Oryctolagus cuniculus: one gene and its partner. The protein of the gene in region 2 purifies or fractionates together with the protein of the main gene of each other region. This does not show direct contact. Links are inferred from orthologs where the notes say so. Each region holds a gene or a part of one and is shown on either strand. Other genes may lie near its edges.

Region 1 (5,642 bases), on a different chromosome or scaffold from region 2:
GGGGATCTTGGCACTCTGGGCAAGTACCCAGGGATAGGCAGTGGGCCCTTCCTTCTCACAAGGGCTCCTGCTTGGATTAAGGGGACAAGGGGAGTCCCTAGCTCCGGCCAGATCCGCAGACTCCCATCCCTACCTCCCAGGGGCCTGAGTCCCGGGCCGGGGGAGGTGCATGAGCGGGTGGGGCTGGCTGGTAGTGCAGTAGCACCAGCGTCGACTGCTTGGGTGGCCAGCATGGCGGGGCCCAGCCCAGCCTAGAGCCCCAAAGTGCACTGTGTTGCCCGTCTCCCTCCTTCCCTTCCTCTCCTGTCCCCCTAGCAGTGACGTTATTCAGGCCATCCCCTGGCAGGCACAGAAGTTTGCCTGCCCCAGCCAGGGGCACCTCTAAGAGGGGAGAATGACTTGAGGGCCTCTAGAGGCTGTAGGCCGGCCACTCAGGCAGGGTGGCCAGGGAGCAGGTTAGAGGGAGGCTAGGGTTTTGGAGCGGGGCTAGACAGCCTTGTAGAGTAGACTTTGGGATCGGGGGAGACCTGGTGCATGTGCAGGACTCAGACTAGGGGGTAGGGGAGAGGTTTGCATTAGCCTTAGTTTACGTGGCCCATGTGTGCAGTGTGGAGGCAGGGAGCCCAGCTCAGGGGCTGAAGTCACTTTTGGGTAAGCTGGACGGGTGGCTTGGGCCAGGCCAGTGGCCATGGGATTTCAGGTGGGAGCCCAGCCAGGACAGGGTACTTGGAGAATAGAGTAGCTAAGACCTGCTGATGGGCTGGGAAAGGTGGGAATCGGGGGTAGTTGTGAGGCTGGAGCCCTAGCCATGAGCTGGGTGGTGTGGGGTGCAGGTGAGTGAGGCCTCCCAGGGCAGCAGATAGCCAGCTGTAGAGCCCAGGAGACCCACCTGGGCTGTGGTCAGTCAGCATAGTGCCTAAGCAGGGGGAAGAACCCTTGGCCAGTAGGGGGACTTGGTGGCAGACTGGCCAGGGGTGCCCCCTGAACTTGACCCTCAAGCAAGTTTGGTGCTCCTGGCTGCTTCCTTGGCAGGAGGCCAGGCTACAGGGGTGCTCTCGCTGCCAGGCCTCACAGCCCACAGCTCCCCAAGCCTCCACAGCTGAGCCCCAGATCATAACGTCACTGTACCTCCCCTTTCCTCGGGCACTCTGGGGCCCTAGAGGCTATTCAGCTTCTCTGCCCTTGCAACCCAGTGGTGGTGGCTGTGGCTTGGGCCTCCTGTCCCTGTCCCCCTGGGTGCTGCCACTGCTCTGCCAAACCTGCTGTGCTGCACTGCCTGGGTGCTAACCTGGCTGCCTCCCGCCTCCCTGCTCCCGCCTGCGCCGGGCTGCCTCTCACAGTGAGCCGCTGGTTGAGCGAGCATTCTCAGTTGTCAGGAGACTCCAGTTTCACCTCCAGGCCTGGAGGGGGGTAGGAAGGCAAGTGTCACGTCCCCCCACGCTGCAGCAGGACTCTGCCTCACCGCGTCCACACAGCACTGGGGGCCAGGGCTGGGCCACAGGGGGTCCAGGCAGCCGTGGGCCTGGCTAGAGCGCTGCTGTTTGTCAGCACGGGCCACGATGCCAGTGAGGCCAAGTGGGGCAAGGGAGGGAGGTGGCGGTAGATGCTCATGCCGAGATGGGCCCTTCCTTCTCTTCCTGGGCACCCGAGTGCCCCCGGTCAGGCCTCTCAGGTGTCAGGGCTTGAGGTGGTCAGGAGAAGCCTTCCTGTCTTCTGAGAAAGCACTCGCCATCCCAGCTGAGGGTGGGGCGGGAGGCCTGGCTGTGCTTGGTGGTGGCGTTGAGGCCTGGGGGGCAGCCGGAAGACAGGAGCAGCCCAAGCGCAGAGCTCACGTGCTGGCCTCCCTTCGGGGACCTGCCCTGCCCTATCAGGTGCTGGCATCGGCCCCACCATCCAGATCGGGGAGGAGACGGTGATCACCGTGGACACAAAAGCGGCAGGCAAAGGCAAAGTGACCTGCACGGTGTGCACCCCTGATGGCTCAGAGGTGGACGTGGATGTGGTTGAGAACGAGGACGGCACCTTTGACATCTTCTACACAGCCCCGCAGCCAGGCAAATATGTAATCTGTGTGCGCTTTGGTGGCGAACATGTGCCCAACAGCCCCTTCCAAGTGACGGTAAGGAGGGCCCGGGGGCAGGATGCAGGGGGCTCTTGACAGGTCCAGCCTGGCCCGTCCCCCAGGGCCCCGCTGCGACAACAGACTCTCCAGCTCCCGCTCTGCTCCACAGGCTCTGGCTGGGGAACAGCCCGCGGCACAGCCCCCGTTACGGCCTCAGCAGCTGGCCCCACAGTACACCTATGCCCAGGGTGGCCAGCAGACCTGGGTACGGCAGGGCTCACCACCTCGCGGATCGCCCGGCCCAAAGAGATGTTCAGGGCTGGTGGGCAGGGAGTCCCATGGGCCCCGGCCGCTCTGCCACCTGCGAGGAGGGACCCCCACGTGCCCCCACAGCCACTTACCTGGGCCCCGTGTCTCCATGCAGGCCCCAGAGAGGCCCCTGGTGGGTGTCAACGGGCTGGACGTGACCAGCCTGAGGCCCTTTGACCTCGTCATCCCCTTCACCATCAAGAAGGGCGAGATCACCGGTGAGCATGAGGCGGGAAGGAGCGCGGGAGCCCGGGCGGCCGGGGCGAGCCACTGGGCGGCCCTGACCCAGCTCCGCTGCCCCACTGCCCTGCTGCCCCGCAGGGGAGGTCCGCATGCCCTCAGGCAAGGTGGCACAGCCCTCCATCACTGACAACAAGGACGGCACCGTGACCGTGCGCTATGCGCCCAGCGAGGCTGGCCTGCACGAGATGGACATCCGCTACGACAACATGCACATCCCAGGTGGGCCACCCTGCCTCTGGCCGGCCGCTGCCACCGCCATCTCGCAGAGAGGTGGGGGTGGAGGCACATGAGGCTGCCGTTTGACACGGCCCCCTTCCCGCCTCAGGGAGCCCCCTGCAGTTCTACGTGGATTACGTCAACTGCGGCCACGTCACTGCCTACGGGCCCGGCCTCAGTCACGGAGTGGTCAACAAGCCCGCCACGTTCACCGTCAACACCAAAGACGCGGGAGAAGGTGAGCGGCGCGTGCTGGGCATCCGGGACCTCCCCACTGGGGCGGCTGAGGGCTGAACGTGGGCGGGGTCCCTAACGGGGTAGCCCCGCCTGCCGGCCCCCGCCCCGCCCCGCCCCACCAGCGGGGCTCCTCCTCAGCAGGCGTGGCGGCGTGTCCCCGGGCACGGTGCCCACCCTCACCCGCACCTCTGGCCAGGGGGCTTGTCGCTGGCCATCGAGGGGCCTTCCAAAGCGGAAATCAGCTGTACGGACAACCAGGACGGGACGTGCAGCGTCTCCTACCTGCCCGTGCTGCCCGGCGACTACAGCATCCTGGTCAAGTACAACGAGCAGCACATCCCAGGCAGCCCCTTCACCGCCAGGGTCACAGGTGGGTGGCACTGGGAGCGGGGGTGGGCGTGCTCTCCCCTTGCAGCCCGACGCAGTGACGGATGGCCGCCCCCCGCCGCCCCCGCAGGTGACGACTCCATGCGGATGTCCCACCTGAAGGTGGGCTCTGCGGCCGACATCCCCATCAACATCTCGGAGACGGACCTCAGCCTGTTGACGGCCACCGTGGTGCCGCCCTCGGGCAGGGAGGAGCCCTGCCTGCTGAAGCGGCTGCGGAACGGCCACGTGGGTGAGAGGCTGAGGGGACTGCGGAGGAAGAGCGGCTGTGTGGGCGGGCGTGGGTGGGGGTGTCCGCGCCCGCCCCCGCTGACAGCCCCGCCCCGTGCCCAGGGATCTCATTCGTGCCCAAGGAGACAGGGGAGCACCTGGTGCACGTGAAGAAGAACGGGCAGCACGTGGCAAGCAGCCCCATCCCGGTGGTGATCAGCCAGTCGGAGATCGGGGATGCCAGCCGCGTGCGCGTGTCCGGCCAGGGCCTCCACGAGGGCCGCACCTTTGAGCCCGCGGAGTTTATCATCGACACTCGAGACGCAGGTAGGTGGCGGAGGCGGGCCCGCGGGGGCGGGGGACGTGGGTGGCGCTGGGCAGCCTGGCTCAGGGCTGTCCATCGCCCAGGCTACGGGGGGCTCAGCCTGTCCATCGAGGGTCCCAGCAAGGTGGACATCAACACGGAAGACCTGGAAGACGGCACGTGTAGGGTCACCTACTGCCCCACGGAACCCGGCAATTACATCATCAACATCAAGTTCGCTGACCAGCATGTGCCTGGTAGGTGTGGTGACAGTGCAGCCCCGCCCTCCCCCCAGCCCTACCGCACCCGGGTGTAACCCGCGCGGGGCATGGGCCGCACTCTCTCCCTGCAGGCAGCCCCTTCTCCGTGAAAGTGACAGGCGAGGGCCGGGTGAAAGAGAGCATCACACGCAGGCGGCGGGCCCCCTCGGTGGCCAACGTTGGCAGTCACTGCGACCTCAGCCTCAAGATCCCTGGTAGGGGCTGTGGGGAGCCAGGGAGGGCTGCTGGGAGCAGGTGGGGGCACAGACCTCCTACCCACCGGGCCACCTCCTCCCTGCAGAAATCAGCATCCAGGACATGACCGCACAGGTGACCAGCCCCTCGGGCAAGAGCCACGAGGCCGAGATCGTGGAAGGCGAGAACCACACCTACTGTATCCGCTTTGTGCCTGCTGAGATGGGCACGCACACAGTCAGTGTCAAGTACAAGGGCCAGCACGTGCCTGGAAGCCCCTTCCAGTTCACCGTGGGGCCCCTGGGGGAAGGAGGAGCCCACAAGGTTCGTGCTGGGGGCCCTGGCCTGGAGAGGGCTGAAGCCGGAGTGCCAGGTAGGCCCGCTTGCCCACCCAGCTCTTGCTCTTCTGGGTGCCCGGGGGCAGTGGGGGGGAGGCTGCCGGCAGCCACGCCATCGGGGCCATGGCGAGGGGCTGAGGGCAGAGGCGCAACCCTCCAGGAGGAAATACCGCTCTCCACAGCCGAATTCAGCATCTGGACCAGGGAAGCTGGCGCCGGGGGCCTGGCCATCGCCGTCGAGGGCCCCAGCAAGGCCGAGATCTCCTTTGAGGACCGCAAGGACGGCTCATGTGGTGTGGCCTACGTGGTCCAGGAGCCAGGTACCGGGGGCCTGGCCGGGGCTGGAGCAGGTCCTCAGGGAGGGAGCCGGGGTTGTCTTCCCCACCACCCTGGGGCCCCCACCACCCTCCACCTGCCTCGAAGCCTCAGAACGCCCCGCCCCGGGCTGTTGGTGGGGCAGGCAGGAGGCCCAGCCTCCGAGGAGCCAGACCTCCCATCGTGCCTGGCCTGGGCTGGCCCAGGATAGCCTCGTGTCCTCTCCCTGCCAGGTGACTACGAGGTGTCGGTCAAGTTCAACGAGGAGCACATCCCTGACAGTCCTTTCGTGGTGCCTGTGGCTTCTCCGTCCGGCGATGCCCGCCGCCTTACTGTTTCTAGTCTTCAGGTGAGGCACTGAGAGAAACTGGCCACCTGGGGCTCCTGGGCCCGGCCAGACCAGAGGCACCGCGAAGCACAGGCCAGGGTTCTGTGCCCAGTAACCCAGCCGGCCCAGCTCTGGGCCCCGGGCCCCTGCTCTGGCCGGGTCCAACCCGCACTTGGGGTTGGCAGGAAGCACCCTGCCCACCGCGTGGAGTTTTTCTCGTGTCTCAGGTCTAAAGGCT
Region 2 (6,357 bases):
AGAAAGATGATTCTTCTTCTAAAAGGTGGAGTCATTGACTAATGGTCTTTAAGTAGGCATGGATAGCTATAAAGATAACAGGATGCAGGCTCTTCATGGCTACTTTGTCTAAAATGGTGAAATAGTGTAAAACATAAAGGGATGAAATACAGAACTTGTAATGTCCTGGCCAGACCTCGAGTTCTGTGATTTTTGTTCTGTGCACTAAGTAGAGCAATTTGCACCAAGACGTGAAGGCAAGTCTTTGTTCCTGTTATTTTTTTTTTTTTTTTTTTTTTTTTGACTGGCAGAGTGGACAGTGAGAGAGAGAGACAGAGAGAAAGGTCTTCCTTTGCCGTTGGTTCACCCTCCAATGGCCGCCGCGGCCGGCGCGCTGCGGCCAGCGCACCGCGCTGATCCGATGGCAGGAGCCAGGAACCAGGTGCTTTTCCTGGTCTCCCATGGGGTGCAGGGCCCAAGCACCTGGGCCATCCTCCACTGCACTCCCTGGCCACAGCAGAGGGCTGGCCTGGAAGAGGGGCAACCGGGACAGAATCCGGCGCCCCGACCGGGACTAGAACCCGGTGTGCCGGCGCCGCTAGGCAGAGGATTAGCCTAGTGAGCCGCGGCGCCGGCCCTGTTCCTGTTATTAAAATTACTGTTATTGGCAGGACAAATTTACTTAAAGTAAGGTCATCCTTAAATCGAAGTGCAGTATGAGCAGCACCACGTTGTTTGAATGCACACGTAGTAGGAAAAGCACCTGAAACACATAGATGGTGGGTAGCATGTAAGAAAGCCGTGCTCCTACTTTACTTTTCTTACAATGCACCTTTACAAGTGACATATATATATATATGAATGAAATACACATGCACTATAGGACATTTAAAACATCCAGAGCATACGTAATTCCACAACTGAGGGAGGAAAACCAACCAGCATTCCGATGTCTATCTTTTCAGACTTCTATCTGTGGACACATCCATTTTGTGATGCATCCTTTTAATGTGTGTGTATTTCAGAAGTTTCCAAACCAGGAAATTTGTAACCTCTTGCTTGACTCAATAATGTGAACCATTGTTTCTTATTAACCTACTAGATTCGTATCGTTTTTTGAAACGGCTGCTGCACTTCACACACCTCTCAAGTTTGGTCATTGAAGTGGTCCCACTTGTTCACTATTATTAGCAACAGCAAAAAAAAAAAAAAAAAAAAAAACCAAAAAACTCCAACATTTCTTTTTAGGGTAGAGGTTGTATTTCCTGGCAGCTGAGAAAGAGAAGGGGTTAAGGGTATAGAGCCCCACGTTCAGTCTCTAGGGAGTTAGAAGACGAGTCGAGGACCAAGAGCGAGAGAGCTCATCCTCTTTAGAGTCCATCTGGTCCCAGAGGAAGTTGCTGCATCAGGGGTCAGATGTGTCTATTAGGGTATCAAAGAACACTCGCCCGAATTAAAACTCCTGTCCTTCCCAACTGCTCGATTTGTGTACAGAAATACGCCTTCACAACCGCCCCATCTGCCACCGTTCCGGGAGTTGCAGACACAAGCCGGGACTCCGCTCTCGGCCCCCGCAGAGAGGAAACCGCGTCCCGGGGCCTGCGCGGGGCGCGCGGGGCGCACTCCGCTCCCGGGCCGGGGCCCTCCCGCCACCTCGGCCAGGTGGGCTCCAACTCCACTACCCCGCCGCCCCGACTCTGCCCACCCCCCAGAGCTGAGCGTGGCACGGCTAGGAACAGAACTCAGCGACGCGTTAACTTGGTCAGGGAAAAGCGAGTCTCTTCTCGCAGCGCGGGATTTACGGGAGTCTACACTGCGCGGGGCGCCGCTCCGCACGCTCGTCTGAGCGCGGCCGCGGATTCCAGGGCTAAGCCGGCGGCAGCACGCGCTCCGAGCAGGTGGCCGCTCGGCCGCAGCCGCCCTCCTCTGCCCCTGCGCCCCTCGCTCGGCTCGGACGCCTGGTGTCCGCGGCGGCCGGAGGAGAAGCATCCTCCACGCCGCCAACTCCATCAATGGGACTCCCCGCGTGGGAAACGTCCCCTCCCGGAGGACTTGCCCTCCGACGGCCCAGCCGCTCGCTCGCCTCGCCTCCCTGGGCCGGGGCGGGCGGACGCCACGAGCTCCTCCTCCCGGACCCCGGGTGGACGCGGCGCTCCCTCCGCGGCCGGAGCGCAGCCGGCACCACCCGCCGCCGAGGGGGCGGGGGCGATGCCGCGGGGGGCGGGCGCGGCGCGCGGGGAGGGGAAGGGGTTCTCGCGCGATTGGGCGAGGTTTCCGGTGTTGTGACTGAAACCCGTCAATATGGCGGCGATCGGCCGCGGCCGCTCTCTGAAGAACCTCCGAATACGAGGTAAGCGCGCTGCAGCCCTCACTCCTCACCTCTCGGCGCCCGCCACCCCTGGCACTTGCCTTCCCCTGGCCCTGGGTCGGGGGAGCGGAGCGGGGGCGCTGGCCGGAGCCTGGGCAGCCGCCGCTGGCCTGCGAGCGAATCCTAATTGGGGCTGTGTGTCTGTTTCGCGCAGGGCGGAATGACAGCGGCGAGGAGAACGTCCCGCTGGATCTGACCCGAGGTAACGCGGGGCGCCGAGAGCGCCGGCGAGGGCGCGCTGCTGGGGAGGAGCTGGGGCCGGGGCGGGCCTCGCACGGGACCCGCGACGGGGACGGGGGGCGCAGCCCGAGCCCCGCCTGCCGGCCCGCGGGAGCCCCGCCAGGCCGCCTCGCTGAACCCATCCCCCTTCCCGGTGCCCGCTTCACTCTGCCTGAACCCTTCTCTGGGGGCCTCGGGCTGCCGCGGGGGGGGGGGGCGGCTGGGGAGCCGCGAGCGGAACTGGCGGAGCCGGCGACCCCTGGGCTCGGTGGCCCCCGGGGGCAGCGGCTTCCACCCGTGCCGAAGCTCGTGCCGCCGGCTCCCGGGGCCGGCCGGAGGGAGGTGGAGGTTGTTATTTGGGTTGCAGGAGGATGTTTGAGGGAAGAGCGACCACATCCTGCCCTCCCCGTCTCCCGGCGCAGAAGCCGGACCTGCTGGCTTTTTTGCTCACTGCGTGCCTGCCTTTTTTTTTTTTTTTTTCTCTTTGCCCCGCGTCCTGTGGGGACCGCCAGCATCGGTAGCTCGGTGCTGAGCCCTGGAGCCGGTCAGGACTGCTGCGTGGCTGGTTTCCGCCGTGTTTTCCTTCTGTTTCTGTTTCCCGGGCCGCTGGGACCGTGCTTCGCCGAAGACCGCCCCCTCGCCCTGCTGCAGGTTCATTGTTTACCTCCTGCAGTGGCGACGGGTTTGTTTACACCTTGGGAACTGAGTGACCCTGGCTTCTCTTTTGAAGGACCGGCTCCGGCTCCACTCCGTATTCTCCATAGCAGGGACGGGACCGTAGTGGGGTTTTATTCCACCTTGTCTTGCCGAAGATTGCGTGATTGGGTACTTGCGACGAGGTTCTTTTCTGCTGCACGATAAACAGGATTTGGTCTGCTGGTTCGCGCCAAGTCCCGTTGCGTACCAGCTGTAGCTTGTGGTGTAACGTGGTTCAGCTGCATAGCATCAGTTGCTTGTTGAGCTCTGTAAAGCGCTGTAGGAAGTTGAAGTCGTCGTAAACAGTCGATACGCGGTCGATGTGCTACTTAACCCTATGTTCTTGACGTAACAATCGCTCTCCACGTATTTATGGTGGACGTGGGCTTGGTGTTGAGGATCATCGCTGAATTAAAGCGTAGTATGATTTGTTCTGTATGTCCTGATGGGAGGTAGCCTTTGTAAACTGGAAGGCCGGTTTTCATGGAGCTACGAGAGTGTATTTTTGTAACCGTGTTTTATTCTGCAACTTCAAGGACGGAGTTTTCGTGAACTTTGGTAGGCAAGAGAGTTTCAAAAATACAATATAGTAGGGCTTGAGTACTAAAAATGGCACTGATTACGATCACCAGTGCACTGCTTTGGAGCAGTTTTTCAGCAGCTTAGAGGTTAGAAAGTAGTGAAGAAACATGTCGTCAGCCTTTCGGCTTTTGTGCAGTAGTTTGAAAACTCTATATGACAGACATAGGGAAAAAATTTGTATGAAATGTTTGCTGTTTTCAAGGAAACCTGTGAACAAAAATAAGGGTCATTCTTAACAGGCCTGAAATTTAGCATTTTGAGTTAAATAACAGATGTAGTTTATTAGAGATTTGTGTACACACACACACACACAAGCATGTGTGTTTTTAGAGGGAGGTGAAAAGTACATACTAGGTAAACTTGAGGTCAATTTGTGCATTAAAAACCTACTTGGGCATGCTAGAAATAAATTTTAGTTGTACCTTAAATTTTGTTGAATTTATTGAATTTGTTGAGCTATATTTGTATTTCATTGTTTTTCTGATATCAAAAATTTTGGTTGTATAAAAGCTCAGATATAAATTTGGATACCTTGGGTTTACTCTAGTTTTACTCAGGTACACATGTAGCTCTGTATGTTTATTATTTAAAATGCTATATTCTCTAATAATTTATTTTATAAATAACTGTTCATAAGCATTTCCAGGATTATATAAAAATAATACAGAGACTACTGTTTGTTTGCCCTGACAAAATGTATTTCAGTTTGGAATACATGTACACAGCCAGTTGAAACCAATTTCACAAGTGATTTACAACTATGAGTGAGAGGTTACATGAGAACTCTATTCCTGAATCATAAGGAAGTTTATAATAAAGAAAATCTGAGTTAGATTCATTTTATAGCAACACTGTTTAAAGAAACTATTATTCTGACAGACGTTTCATTGTTCAAAAAAGGCTTGTGGATCTAACTTGAAGAAAGTTCATGAGGAATTAAACTTTAGTAATGATTTGAGAACTGTGAGGCAGTCTGGGTTACAGCTGAAGGGCAGCTGTTTGTGGATTGAATTACAGTATGTAAAAAAGATAAAGTTCAGGCAACCAAATAACTTTTTGATTAATGTCAAGGCGCCGTTTTCTCTTACTCTAATTATTTTCATGTAATCTTTGAGAGGTTTATTGTATAGATATCTAACAAAGTTCTTTATAAAATAGAAGTTAAAATCATTGTAACCCCTAAGGGAGCCATTAGTGTGTGATGAAAAAGAGCTAACTATGAAGTCAAATAATTCTGGGTTGTAATCTCAGCTGTGATATTTAGGAGGTGGGTGATTTGGCGCAACTTATTTGACCTTGCTTAACCCCTCCTTTCTTCATCTCAAAAAGAAGAGGTAACCTCAAAGGATTATTGAGAATCTGAGAAATAAATGAGGTAGTTCTTATAGTACTCAGTACAGGATCAGGTACTTTGTCATATTAGCAACTTTCCTACCATGTCAAATCAAGATTCTTAAATCACATTGGAGATATTTCAAATAATTGTTTAGAGTATGTACATGTTAATAAGAAGTAAGGATTTTGGTATTCAAGCTTCCTTTTGTTGAGACCTTGTATTGTACTAATTAAGTATAGTTTATCTGAAGTAGAGGTCCTGAGTGTAATGACTATAAAAAGAGAACTCTTTTTTTAAAAAATAAAGATTGCCAGTAAATTAAGTCTAATGAAGTACAACCCGTTATATGCACTTAAGATGAAATGTGATACTTTATTTTATAGAATCTTAGAATTTTTCTGTGACTTCAGAAAATTTCTTAAGCTGACTAGGCTAGTCTTACGAGCTTCTTGGGGCCTGCTGGTGTTCTAAGGTTCTTTGATTCTGGTACTAGTGTTAGTGCTGTGCTTCCTACTTGGAGTTTTGCAGTTAAAAATGTTGATGAATTAAGTTTGACCTAGGATCAGGATTTTGTAGTAGATTCCACAGTGAACTTGTTGATCATTTTTGCTTTTCATTTTATTCTCTTAGCTACTCTACTTAATTTGTGAAAGTCCCCAATATTTGCTATTGATATCATTAAATACTGTCTCTGTGCTGCCTGCCAAAATGTATTTTGAAACTCAAATGCTTCCCTTAGCAACTTCAGCTGAAAAGATAGCCTATTTAAAAAAGCAGTCCAGTAGTGTATCTCTTCCTGGTACTAAATAACTTGAAAAGACAGTGTTCTTCCTGGGTATGCCCTGCTAGTATAATTATTATTTGAAGTGAATTCTCAGAACATGGACACCTGGATTCAAATAAAATTATTAAAATATGATTTATTTAAAGTGCTATTAAGTTTTATTATATTTTGTTATTCATTTCCATTAGTAAGAGTAAAAAAGTTGACTGTCTTAGTTTAATAAGCAGAAAAGTAGGAAGGTCTTCTGAAATGATATGGGATTTCAACATTAACTTTGTTTTCTCTTTTCTTCTTGTTAGGAGGTTATTTGTTCAAGCTATTACTTCAGTAGATGAAATGTACAGTATAAAATGAGAACTGTAAAATGTATACTAGTTGCTGAAGGAATACAAT

What was found. The genes of interacting proteins can lie anywhere in the genome.
Region 1: the proteins of RICTOR (region 2) and FLNA purify together in Homo sapiens (affinity purification with mass spectrometry; 3 studies listed by BioGRID and IntAct, with this or other methods). This does not show direct contact. The link is inferred for Oryctolagus cuniculus from reciprocal best matches to the Homo sapiens genes RICTOR and FLNA.

Annotation. Positions count from the first base shown.
Region 1 is NC_091453.1:132,580,398-132,586,039, reverse strand, and holds part of FLNA (filamin-A), read left to right. Parts: intron 1-1,871; coding exon 1,872-2,119; intron 2,120-2,231; coding exon 2,232-2,327; intron 2,328-2,486; coding exon 2,487-2,589; intron 2,590-2,692; coding exon 2,693-2,833; intron 2,834-2,939; coding exon 2,940-3,068; intron 3,069-3,263; coding exon 3,264-3,437; intron 3,438-3,524; coding exon 3,525-3,686; intron 3,687-3,787; coding exon 3,788-3,991; intron 3,992-4,072; coding exon 4,073-4,225; intron 4,226-4,320; coding exon 4,321-4,443; intron 4,444-4,529; coding exon 4,530-4,796; intron 4,797-4,943; coding exon 4,944-5,081; intron 5,082-5,309; coding exon 5,310-5,425; intron 5,426-5,642. UniProt on the Homo sapiens protein: Promotes orthogonal branching of actin filaments and links actin filaments to membrane glycoproteins. Anchors various transmembrane proteins to the actin cytoskeleton and serves as a scaffold for a wide range of cytoplasmic signaling proteins.
Region 2 is NC_091445.1:64,473,964-64,480,320, reverse strand, and holds the start of RICTOR (rapamycin-insensitive companion of mTOR), read left to right. Parts: upstream 1-2,221; 5' UTR 2,222-2,280; coding exon 2,281-2,329; intron 2,330-2,501; coding exon 2,502-2,549; intron 2,550-3,683; exon of another isoform or gene 3,684-3,820; intron 3,821-6,357. UniProt on the Homo sapiens protein: Component of the mechanistic target of rapamycin complex 2 (mTORC2), which transduces signals from growth factors to pathways involved in proliferation, cytoskeletal organization, lipogenesis and anabolic output.